3 linked regions of the Arabidopsis thaliana genome follow. The protein of the gene in region 1 interacts with the protein of each later gene in a pairwise test. Each region holds a gene or a part of one and is shown in the gene's direction. Other genes may lie near its edges. The genes, in order: LUL2, GDU2 and GDU3.

The links.
Region 2: the proteins of LUL2 (region 1) and GDU2 interact in a two-hybrid assay, tested with the Arabidopsis thaliana proteins (one study listed by BioGRID).
Region 3: the proteins of LUL2 (region 1) and GDU3 interact in a two-hybrid assay, tested with the Arabidopsis thaliana proteins (one study listed by BioGRID).

What each region holds. Positions count from the first base shown.
Region 1 is NC_003074.8:19,800,394-19,804,240, reverse strand, and holds LUL2 (RING/U-box superfamily protein), read left to right. Parts: upstream 1-1,912; 5' UTR 1,913-1,966; coding exon 1,967-2,262; intron 2,263-2,365; coding exon 2,366-2,852; intron 2,853-2,949; coding exon 2,950-3,066; 3' UTR 3,067-3,290; downstream 3,291-3,847. Other genes in the region: PIP2A (plasma membrane intrinsic protein 2A), read left to right, coding at 1-125, 216-335.
Region 2 is NC_003075.7:13,114,483-13,117,598, forward strand, and holds GDU2 (glutamine dumper 2), read left to right. Parts: upstream 1-1,545; 5' UTR 1,546-1,666; coding exon 1,667-2,056; 3' UTR 2,057-2,473; downstream 2,474-3,116. UniProt on the Arabidopsis thaliana protein: Probable subunit of an amino acid transporter involved in the regulation of the amino acid metabolism. Stimulates amino acid export by activating nonselective amino acid facilitators.
Region 3 is NC_003076.8:23,365,207-23,368,953, reverse strand, and holds GDU3 (glutamine dumper 3), read left to right. Parts: upstream 1-1,890; 5' UTR 1,891-2,151; coding exon 2,152-2,598; 3' UTR 2,599-3,149; downstream 3,150-3,747. UniProt on the Arabidopsis thaliana protein: Probable subunit of an amino acid transporter involved in the regulation of the amino acid metabolism. Stimulates amino acid export by activating nonselective amino acid facilitators.

The sequences.
Region 1 (3,847 bases):
CAATCGGATTTGCCGTGTTCATGGTACATTTGGCTACCATTCCCATTACCGGAACCGGAATTAACCCGGCAAGGAGTTTCGGAGCTGCCGTAATCTACAACAAGAGCAAGCCATGGGATGACCACGTAAGACCTCAACGTTTCTCCATTACATTCAACTATATTTTTCATTTTTACAAGGGAATAATGTTTTGAAATTTTGGTGATTACAAACAGTGGATATTTTGGGTTGGACCATTCATTGGAGCTGCGATAGCTGCATTCTACCACCAATTCGTTCTGAGAGCTTCAGGTTCTAAGTCTCTTGGATCATTCAGAAGTGCTGCCAACGTCTAAACACATCAAACCAGATTTCTCAAGAATAAATGAAGTTGTGATCTCTCTGTACAAATCTAAATCAGTCACTTGCAGTTTTCATTTCCCTTTCTTATATTTGTGTTTTCCACTTGCTCTTTTGTGAATTTTCCTTCGGTGTAATTGTTTTTTCTTTCGCTTTTAAACGAGTGATTGGAATTATAATCAATGAAATCAAAGAGGTTCTTATGCGTTGTGTTTACATTAATACTAGTACTAAAGTTAGTTTCCTTAGAGAATAACAACACCATGGGGCCATGTTCTTGGTCTTGTTTACGTCCTCCTCAAGATGCTCAGTGAATAAGCAGGATTTTGGAGAAACACATGTCTCTGCTTTAACGCAATCATTATCTTTCTAGAAAAGACCATTCCTTTATGTCTTCATACATCTCAGGCGGATAAAGCCTAGCGTGCACCAGCAGTAAGTTTTAGTTACTCTCTGAAACCGCCATTGTCCATTAACCCCATATGCCTCAAAGGCTCACAGAAACTGTTACATTCAAGATTCAACATACTTAGTCGTTTGTTACTTGACAATTATGAATCATATAGGAAATGCTCGAACTTGGCTGAGGATTGAGAGTCTTACCCTTCAGAATCTGCATTTTTTATGAGAACGTGAAGAGGTGTGGCCGCTCAAAATTGGCCTCTTGGTGGCCTAGCCTCAGCCTCTGAGACTGCCTACCATCCAAATCCTTTAATTACGAAAGTAAAACATGTGTTAGATGTTTGATCATTTACTGTAAGAAGTACTAATCGAATAAATTGTTATGCGAAGAAGAGAAATGATGATACTACTGCACCATTCAAAGAATTGATGGAGTTTTGAACCTCTCGGGAAGAGCTGAGTGTCACAAACCCAGTAGATCAGATTTGATATCGAGAAAGTTTCTAAAGGGACCTCATACAGTAGTAAGAAAATGACGAATGTAGTGATACAATAGGCTGGGATGCTTACGAACGATTTATGTTGTTTACTCTGGAGATGCTTGGCGGACAATTCAAAGATTTGGCAAACAACATCGCATAATGTACAAGAAAAGGCATATTCACCCCATCTAATACACGTCTCCCGAAGCTTCCTCTGTTCATTAACCGTAGACGAGACCTTCCTGAACCCGTTGCATCTGTGTGGGAAACAAAAAGAAGAAGGAGAAAAACTTGTTGTGCTGGTAAATTATTTCACCTGTGAGTGAGAGGACAAAACACACCTTCTCGTAAGTCTTCTGGCCAGAGCCACCGTGCTGGAAATTTTGGAGGAAATGGACATGCCTGAAAAGTTGTGTCTCCCCTCCGACGTTTGTCCCACATTACAAACGTTTGATCAGGTAAATCCGACCTTGTTTATTATCGAACCTGTAACACAAGAGAGAAGCTTTAGAGAAAGATGGAGCTATCAGCGGAGAGAGGAGATCAACAGAATCTTCGAGCGCAAGTAATCGTTTTGAGTTGAAATAAATATAGGGTAAAACTGGTATTTTATATGGGCCGATACGTGTGGCCCTGTATCTTAGCCCACAAAGTTAGTTGACCTGCTTTTCTGATCATCTTCCTCCCACTCTCTTTCATCTTTTTGTAATCGATTTGCAATTTCAATTTCGCAAAGTTGGATCATGGGCAATGTCATAAGCGGTGGAAGCCGCCCGGAAAATCATCGGGACCGTACTTCGCCGCCGTATCCAAACCCTAATGCTCAGTACCAAGGCAATTATCCGTCGCCGTACCAAGATTGTGCTAGGTATCCGTATGGAGAGATGGCGTCTCCAGTGCAATACGTAGAGCATCAGGAAGCAGTGACTATAAGGAACGACATCAATCTGAAGAAAGAAACTTTGAGACTTGAGCCTGATGAACAGAACCCTGGCAAGTTTTTGCTCTCCTTCACTTTTGACGCCTCTGTTCCTGGAAGGTAATGATCAATGTTTTATACAGCTCGACATCTTTTCACTGTGTGATTGCTAGATGTTGAAGGTTTGATCGATGCTCAGTTCTTATGGTTTTTGATTCAACAGCATCACTGTAATGTTCTTTGCTAAAGAAGGCAAAGACTGTAACCTTATTGCGACAAAGGAGGATCTTTTTCCATCCACTCAAGTTAGTTTTGCAAAAGGTCTGGAACAGAGATTCAAGCAGGCTTGTGGGACAGGGATTGATTTCTCAGATATGTCAGAGGCAGATTTGGTTGAGGCAAACGAGACAGATGTGTATCATGTGGCAGTGAAAGCAGAGGTAGTATCAGAAGATGATCATCCTGAGTCTGGGACACCAAACAGACAGATAACTCATGTGGTTTTAGAGAAAGATCATAAGGGTGAGTACAAGGCGAGAGTGGTGAAGCAGATCCTGTGGGTGAATGGGAATAGGTATGTTCTTCAAGAGATTTATGGGATTGGTAATACAGTTGATGATAATGGAGAAGATGCGAATGAAAGAGGAAAAGAATGCGTCATCTGCTTATCTGAGCCACGGGATACCACTGTTCTCCCTTGCAGGCACATGGTAAGCAGATAAATATCCTTAAGAGAGAGTTTGAGAAAGAAGACGGCTTTTTTCTTGATTGATAGCTAACTTTGATATTTGTTTTTGTGATTCGTAGTGTATGTGTAGCGGTTGTGCAAAGCTTTTGAGGTTTCAGACAAACCTCTGCCCCATCTGTAGACAACCGGTGGATAGGCTTTTGGAGATAACAGTGAACAACAACGACAGGAACTAGTGAGCCTTGCTACGTTACTCTTCTCCTGTTTTTATATAAAGACTGCTTCCCAATGTTCTTGTTTGTGGTATCGGTATATATGCAGGCATTAGAACTCAAGTTACTAACTTACATATGCCAAATGACACTTAAATTCCGGGTTTTACTTCCAAGTGTTTTGTAAATCATCATGCTACTTTGTCTAGCGGTCTTCGTTGTTAATGAAGTGAACAACTTTTGCAGTACCAGCAGCAGCACTTTTAGAGAGTATAGCCAATCGGATAGTAGACACGAGGGATGAAGTGACAAATGTCACACACTCCTCGTATCAAATCATCCCTCGTTTATGCTATTTGATTGGTTAAAGTCTCAAAAAGTTCTTCATTTTTATTAACAACCAAAACCGTCTAGATAAAGCATTTACTACTGGTCCGCAAAGAAAACTGGGAAGGCTAATCTTGCCAGTGGCAGGATATGTGTTACAATATGATCTGATCAAAGGCCAAGGCTGTGACTTTATTGTGACAAAGGAGGATCTGTTTCCCCATCCACTCAACTTAGTTTTCCAAAAGGTTGGGCAGAGAGATTCAAGCAGGCTTGTGGAACTGAATTTGATTTCTCCTCTCTATCAGAGGCAGATTTGGTCGAGGTAAGTGAGACACATGTGTATCCTGTGGCAGTGAAAACAGATGCATCATCAGATCAGAAGATGATCCATCCACAGTCTGAACACCAAACCATCAGATAACTCATACTTTTTAGAGAAAGATCATAAGGGTGAATACATACAAGGCGAGTCGTG
Region 2 (3,116 bases), on another chromosome or scaffold:
ACTTGAGAAGTTGAGATATTTGGAACCTTTGTTAATTCTTTCAACACCGAAAACGATTTCTTAGGAAATTTCAAAAGAAATAAAAGTAAAGAGGGCAAGTATTCTGATTGTTAACCAAGCACAAAATGAAGCACCCATCAATCAATCTTTTCAACAATCAACATACCGATTCTAATTGGTCTGGCAGAATAATTACCGGAAAGGAAGAAGAATAGAACTCCAATATTTAATTATCGTACTTAATCTGTTTGTTCGAGAAACTAAATAATGGGTTCCTAGGTATATGTATTTATTTTATACATTATCTTCACATGTAACGTGCCTATTTAACGAGAATATGATTCCCTATGATTCATGCACAAACACAAATCAAATCCGGAATTTAAGTCGGATCAGGGAATAAATTATACAGCCCACACACATAATAATTTAAAACTAATATATACACAGTGAGGGGATTTAAAAGTAAAACTTATCTCCAAAGATTAATGTAAGCGACTAGTGATTGTGTTGGCATATTAACCGCACATAACATTGTTTGGGGGTTTGGATGCTTTAAAAAAGGTTCTGCCTTAGAAATTCCTTTTAGTTGACGTAATGATATATTATTGCTTACTGTAATACTAGTGGACACATTAAACAATGATCTTAAAGTACGAATGAAGAAATTAAAGAAAATGGAAGAGGAAGAATGTGGAAATGGAGAACGTAAGTGAAAGTGATTGGAAACTAATGGAATATCCGTTTTTCCTTTAGTCATGGTGGAAGCTGACGCTGAGAACCTACCCCTCCAATTGCACTACTCGCTCTATTACTTTATCTAACCAGAAGTTTTTTAAATACCCTTTACTGTATATAGTTCTTACAGTTTTATACATATTGTTAAGAACTCCATATATAGTGTATAAATGGCATTGAAAATAGTTTTGAGTTGAAACTCCTAAATGATATTAAATCTTGAGTTTAACCTAATTAAGCAAAGTAATAAAAACTGATTAGCCAAAACAAAGAGGTTAGTTAGTTCAACAGTTAGGTTAATGTGCAAATTGCCGTAACAAGATTATTAAATAATTCTTAACTTTAATTAACCTCTATCCATTATTGCATTTAAAAGATACTATTAATTAAAAGCCACCAATAAAAATTTAAACTTTATTAAAGTACTAAAGACGGATATATTAAACAAAACAATTATGAAAAAAATAAGAAAACCAACTTAATACAAGTTCAAATTAACATCCAAAAGAAGGAAATATACATGATTTTACAAATGTCTTCATTGAGCCACCACGTTAAACTAATATCATTTTTGAGGTTGATTAAAAAATTATTCATGTAAGTATAAATGCAAAAAAAAACTACATCTCTATATCAAAAACCAATCAATTGTTTACTCCATTATGGAAGATGATTCCCTAAAAAATAATTTCGTTAATACTCACTCTACAAAGTACAAATAATGAATACTGACTTTTTTCATACATTCCAAAAAAATACTGAAAACTGAACCATACACAAATCCATTGCATTAAGAAACAATCCATCCCATACGTTCCTCTATAAAACGCCTCTCACAACACAATCTCATCTCCCACCAATAAATTAATTACTTTTTTAACAAAGAAAACTTTCATTTCATTCACTCTTCCCAAACAGTAAAACACACATGCAGACAATGGAAGGACGACAATATAATTACCAAGACAGCATAAACGCGAGCTCCTCCATGGTGGTGCCTCACTCGCCTTGGCACTCTCCGGTTCCTTATCTCTTCGGTGGTTTGGCCGCCATGTTGGCTCTCATCTGCGTCGCTCTTCTCATCCTCGCATGTTCCTACTGGAGACTCTCCGGCTCCGCTGAGAGAGATCTTGAGGCCGGAGATGATGCCAAACCCGACAATGACACCAACAAAACTAAGCACACAGAAATGCCGGAGAAGTTTCTCGTCATAATGGCCGGTGATGTCAGACCTACTTACTTGGCTACGCCAGCGACTCGGTCTGAGCAAAGCTGTACTTGCGGCGATCATAACGAAGAAGAAGGAAGAAGAGGGTAGTGATCAGGTGGTATAGCAGAGCACCGGAGGTTACGGTGAGCCCTCCCTCATATTTTGAAAACAGAGCATTCGTTACGGAGTACTCCGGAATCGATCCGTCCGGTCTTTTTGTGTCGGTTCATAATTACGCCAACCTTACGTGAGCTGATGGGATATAAATTAGAGTTTTATTTATTTCGTATGGTTTTAGTTTTTTTTTGGTTGTCTCAGTTTTCTTCAAATTTTTCCCGTTTATGGTTCATGAAGGAATATCCGGTACATGTAAATTTTAAGAGTTTGAATAGATGATTGTTTTGGACTAGCGATTAAAGATAGAACTGAAGCTTGACAGACAAAATAAATAAAAGATACAACTAAAATCGTGCGTCCTTAATTCAGTTTTCGTGTATAGAGAGACAAAAATGTTTTCCCAGTGAGAGATGTACAGACATGATGCTTACGAAAGAGGGAAAGAGATGTGTTGTGAAAACTTCTAGTGATGTGCCAACAATGACGCATGCCGAATATTAAGCTAATTCGTTGTGGCGAACCGAAGTTGAGAATTATTCTCTTTGTACCTTTATTCCTAAATTTCTAGATATATTACTAAATATCATCAAGTTTTATCAAAGAACAAATAGCCTCTCAACTATACATTTCTCTCTTTTTTTCTTTTCCAGGCATATCCATTTATCATTGTTTACCATTCACTGAAATTGAAAGCATTATCGTTTATCGTTGGACAATAAATTGTCGTCTTTTGGATGATCAGTACAATGTGAACAGTGACACATATAATGGATGGAGACTACTGCAACTAACTGAATAATTGTTTTTCTAGTATGGGCAATTGGTCACTGGTTGTGTCATGTGTTTACGTCCTTTCGTTTTCTTGTCCAATTCCTACTATGTTTATTATGTGAACGTGTCAAAACAAACGAGCTCGCAAATGATGCCAATAAAACTGGAAAACCAACAATAATTGTGGAAAAATCGACATTCAACTGGCGCCAAGTCTTATGATCAAAACAAAAACTTATAGAATCGATAGTGACAAGAGAAGTATGAACCTTTTTTTTTT
Region 3 (3,747 bases), on another chromosome or scaffold:
AAAAAGCAAATGATAGGAACTTGACCAAATAAACTTTGATCCAAATAGACTGTGCAAAAACATGGGACCATTTTTGTTATCTCATCTATAATTTTTAAAATTATCATTGATGAGATAATTGAGACCTCAGGCATATGGTTTGGTATGTTGTTTCCAGCTTTTTTTCATTGGGGTTTCCCACTTTCCTTTTTGATGATATATAAAATTTTCTGTACTCCTCTAATATATCATTAAAATATTTTAAAAACGTAAAATTTGGTATGTTCTTGTTAGAATGATGATTTTGGTGCATAGTGGATTTTTTTATATATGATAAAATCAATAGTCACTTGTTAAAAGCAATTTATGGTGGTGGTGGGCTACCGTCTGTTTTTTCATTTATATTTATGTGTTCACAGTTCACGATGAAATATGATAACATATATATATATATATATATATATATATACCTATCATAATTATTTTTTATGCTGTATATATGTGAAAAAATTGTCTATATATAGTAGTTAATTAATTATGTATATGAATACAGCATGAAAAATTATTGAGAGCGAGTGTGAGTCTTGTTGTTCTTGCTTTGCCGAGTTTCAAGGTCTCATACGAATTCATTTGCTCTTTAACAATCATGCATATCTTGCATATATATCAATATGTTGGAGATACAATAAAGTTGGTTATAAATATGTATAGTGGAACTCGAAGTAAGAAGATTTAAACAAACATGTAATTTTAGTTGTTTTAGGTAACGTTCACTTTACTTGTTTGGCGTTAACGGTTATTACGTTTCCGGCTATCTCTTCACGTTTGCATCGCTCACCTAAATTTTAGCGGCTTTAACGGAACCGTTTTTGGTCAGTCTCTTGTCCTTATCTTATTCCCCTTTTAATTGCCTCTTTTAAACCCTCTTTCTTCTTCAGAGTGTTTCTTTATCTATTAGCCATCAATCATTGGTTTTTTTGTTCTAGTTAAAAAATTCATCATTTTCATGACTCTTATGTTTTCATGTCTCACTTTTCCACTGTAAATTAGAAAAATAATTATTAGCCAAGTAGATGTTGATCTTACGCTGTACTAGTAGAGAGTATAACCACTCAGCAGATATTTTCTGTAAAGTCATACTATATTTTATTCGAGTGGATTCGACACTATGTGAATGGTTGTTAATTATCTAAAACAGTGTTTAAGTGTTACAATAAATGATTACTAATATTATAATTCCTTGGAGTATGATAGAATCGAAGATATTTTTTGAAATTATCCACTGATTAAGCTTAAAAAGTAGTAAGGAATACTGATTAAGAAACAGACCACATTAATTGGGTCCCAACTAATCACCGGCACCTAAACCAACAGAAGCTCATCATTACACGGCTTGCTAACTATACATAACATTCCTCTGTAAAGCATGTAGTTTCAATTTTTGAAATATATAAACCCTTAACCTTGCTGAGATTATAAATGTTACCAATCATTTTTAAAATGCTATTGCTGTGAATGTGAACGTCGATTATTTATGTAAACTTCTAAGTAAAACACATACACACATTACTCTAGAAAGAAAAAAGTAGATATGTTAGTTATCTTTTATGTTGGTAAGCGACTCAAAACGGACAAAAAAAAATGAGTATGGTAAATCTCAACAGCCAAAAAAAAAAGTTTACCATTGAATTAAGAATTTTCTCTTAAAAATATGTTTGGAAATCATAGGAAAACTTGTTAAATGTTTATTTTTTCATTTACAAATTATATATATATTCAGTGGTTAATCCTTTTGTACACACCATCTCGATTACTTTAGCAAACGGCAAAAATAAGACATAACATAAGTTATGCACTCACGTCACGACTCCATATAATCATTCATGATAACTGAGAAACATAAAAACTGAATTCATATTGCTTTTTTCTCCAACTCACTCATTACATACAAATACATAAATAAATAAGAAAAATTTCCATAAATCAGAAGTAAAAAGAATCTCATACGCAAAATAATAAAATTAAAAATTGATACGTCACACACAATCCACAACGTTAATTCGCTTCTTCTCTTCTATAAAACCCTTCCTCACTCATCTTCCTCCTCACACCAAAACATTTTCCTAAAAAAAAAAAAAACTCAAAACTCAAAACCATCTTTGTGAAAAAAAAATGGAAGGAAGACAATATTACCCTCCGAGAGAAAACGTTGAAGGAAACAGAACCACCATGGGAGGAGGACCTCACTCACCGTGGCATTCACCGGTTCCTTATCTCTTTGGTGGTTTAGCAGCGATGCTTGGTCTCATAGCTTTTGCTCTTCTAATCCTCGCTTGCTCTTACTGGCGTCTCTCCGGTTATCTAGACGGCGAGGAAAACCAGAGCAGAGAGAGAGATCTTGAAGTCGGAGATGTGAAACCTGACAAAACGGCGGTGAAGCCTGTAGCTTTGCCGGAGAAGTTCTTGGTGATTATGGCCGGAAATGTCAAACCTACTTACTTAGCAACGCCGTCGGTAAAAACGTGTACTTGTGACGATGATGACGATGAAGATGATGACGTGGAGGGAAGTGATCAGGTGGTGCCGCGGAGTAGTGAAAGTAACGGTGAGACACATTGACAAAACCAGAGGAAGGGAAGAGAAAAACAGAGGATCGTCTTATTGTGAACAGTTCTGAAGAACTGTTTGCAGCATCTGACCCGGTTGCGTCGGGTATTCGGGTTGGATCATAACTCTACTTGATGATGAGTAATATTGGAAAAAATTGGAATTGGGATTGAATTATTAGGAGTTGTTCTGATCAATGATGTATTTAAAAAATCTTAGCTTTTGCCTTTTGCATCGTTAATTCGTTTTTTTTTTTTTTGTAAGTTTTGTGCCATATCTAGGTCATGATGAGGGATAAAATGTAAATTTCTGAGACTTTGAATGTGAAATTTGTGATTTATGGAATTGAGAATGAAAAAACAAATAACTATCTGAGACTTCAATGAAAATATCTTGATTATTTTAAAAATTCACCAAAAAAAAAAGGTGATTAAATGATGAAAAAATTGTACTGTTCCAGTACATGTTTTTTCGTGGGATTAATGTGACAATTGTGGTCCGAACAAAAAAGAAAACAGAGAAAATATCAAAAGATTCTTCAGGTGAGAAAATTGAAGTGAGGACTACAGGCACGTGTGAAGGCACATGCAGAAGAATGTCTGATTTAATTTCTCTTAGGTGTCTCTAAATTGATGCGGCGAGGTGAAGCAGTTAAAATTAGCTTCAATCAACGACCCTAATCGTGTAATTAATCTCCTATAGCATAATTCTTATCAGGAAAATATTTTATAAGTTTCGAAAATGACTTTTAACTGCACTAGGTCTCTTTTCTTTTTTCCCTTTCAATCTTATCTTGTAGGCTGTAGCCCTAGCTAGGTTTCTTTTTTTTTATATTACTTTAAAGCTATGGATTCTTTATTTATACATTCATCTAATGAAAATGGATTACCAACTATTAATAGTGAATATTCGAGTTCAGAAACTAGACTTTGATGAATAACCGTCAATCTTTTGCCTCTTCTTCTTTGTTGCATAACAAATAGTTTTGTTTTATCAAAACAGAGTATTTTTATCAATTTAACGATATATGTTGAGCTGCGTAGACTTGTAATCAAGATGTTCGATGTAAAAATGTTTTTGGATTGGTTATGGGTCGAGAAAATAAAGTTGGCTAATGGTGGGTTTTATTTGGGCCCACTGTAGTTTTTTTGGTAAGAGGCC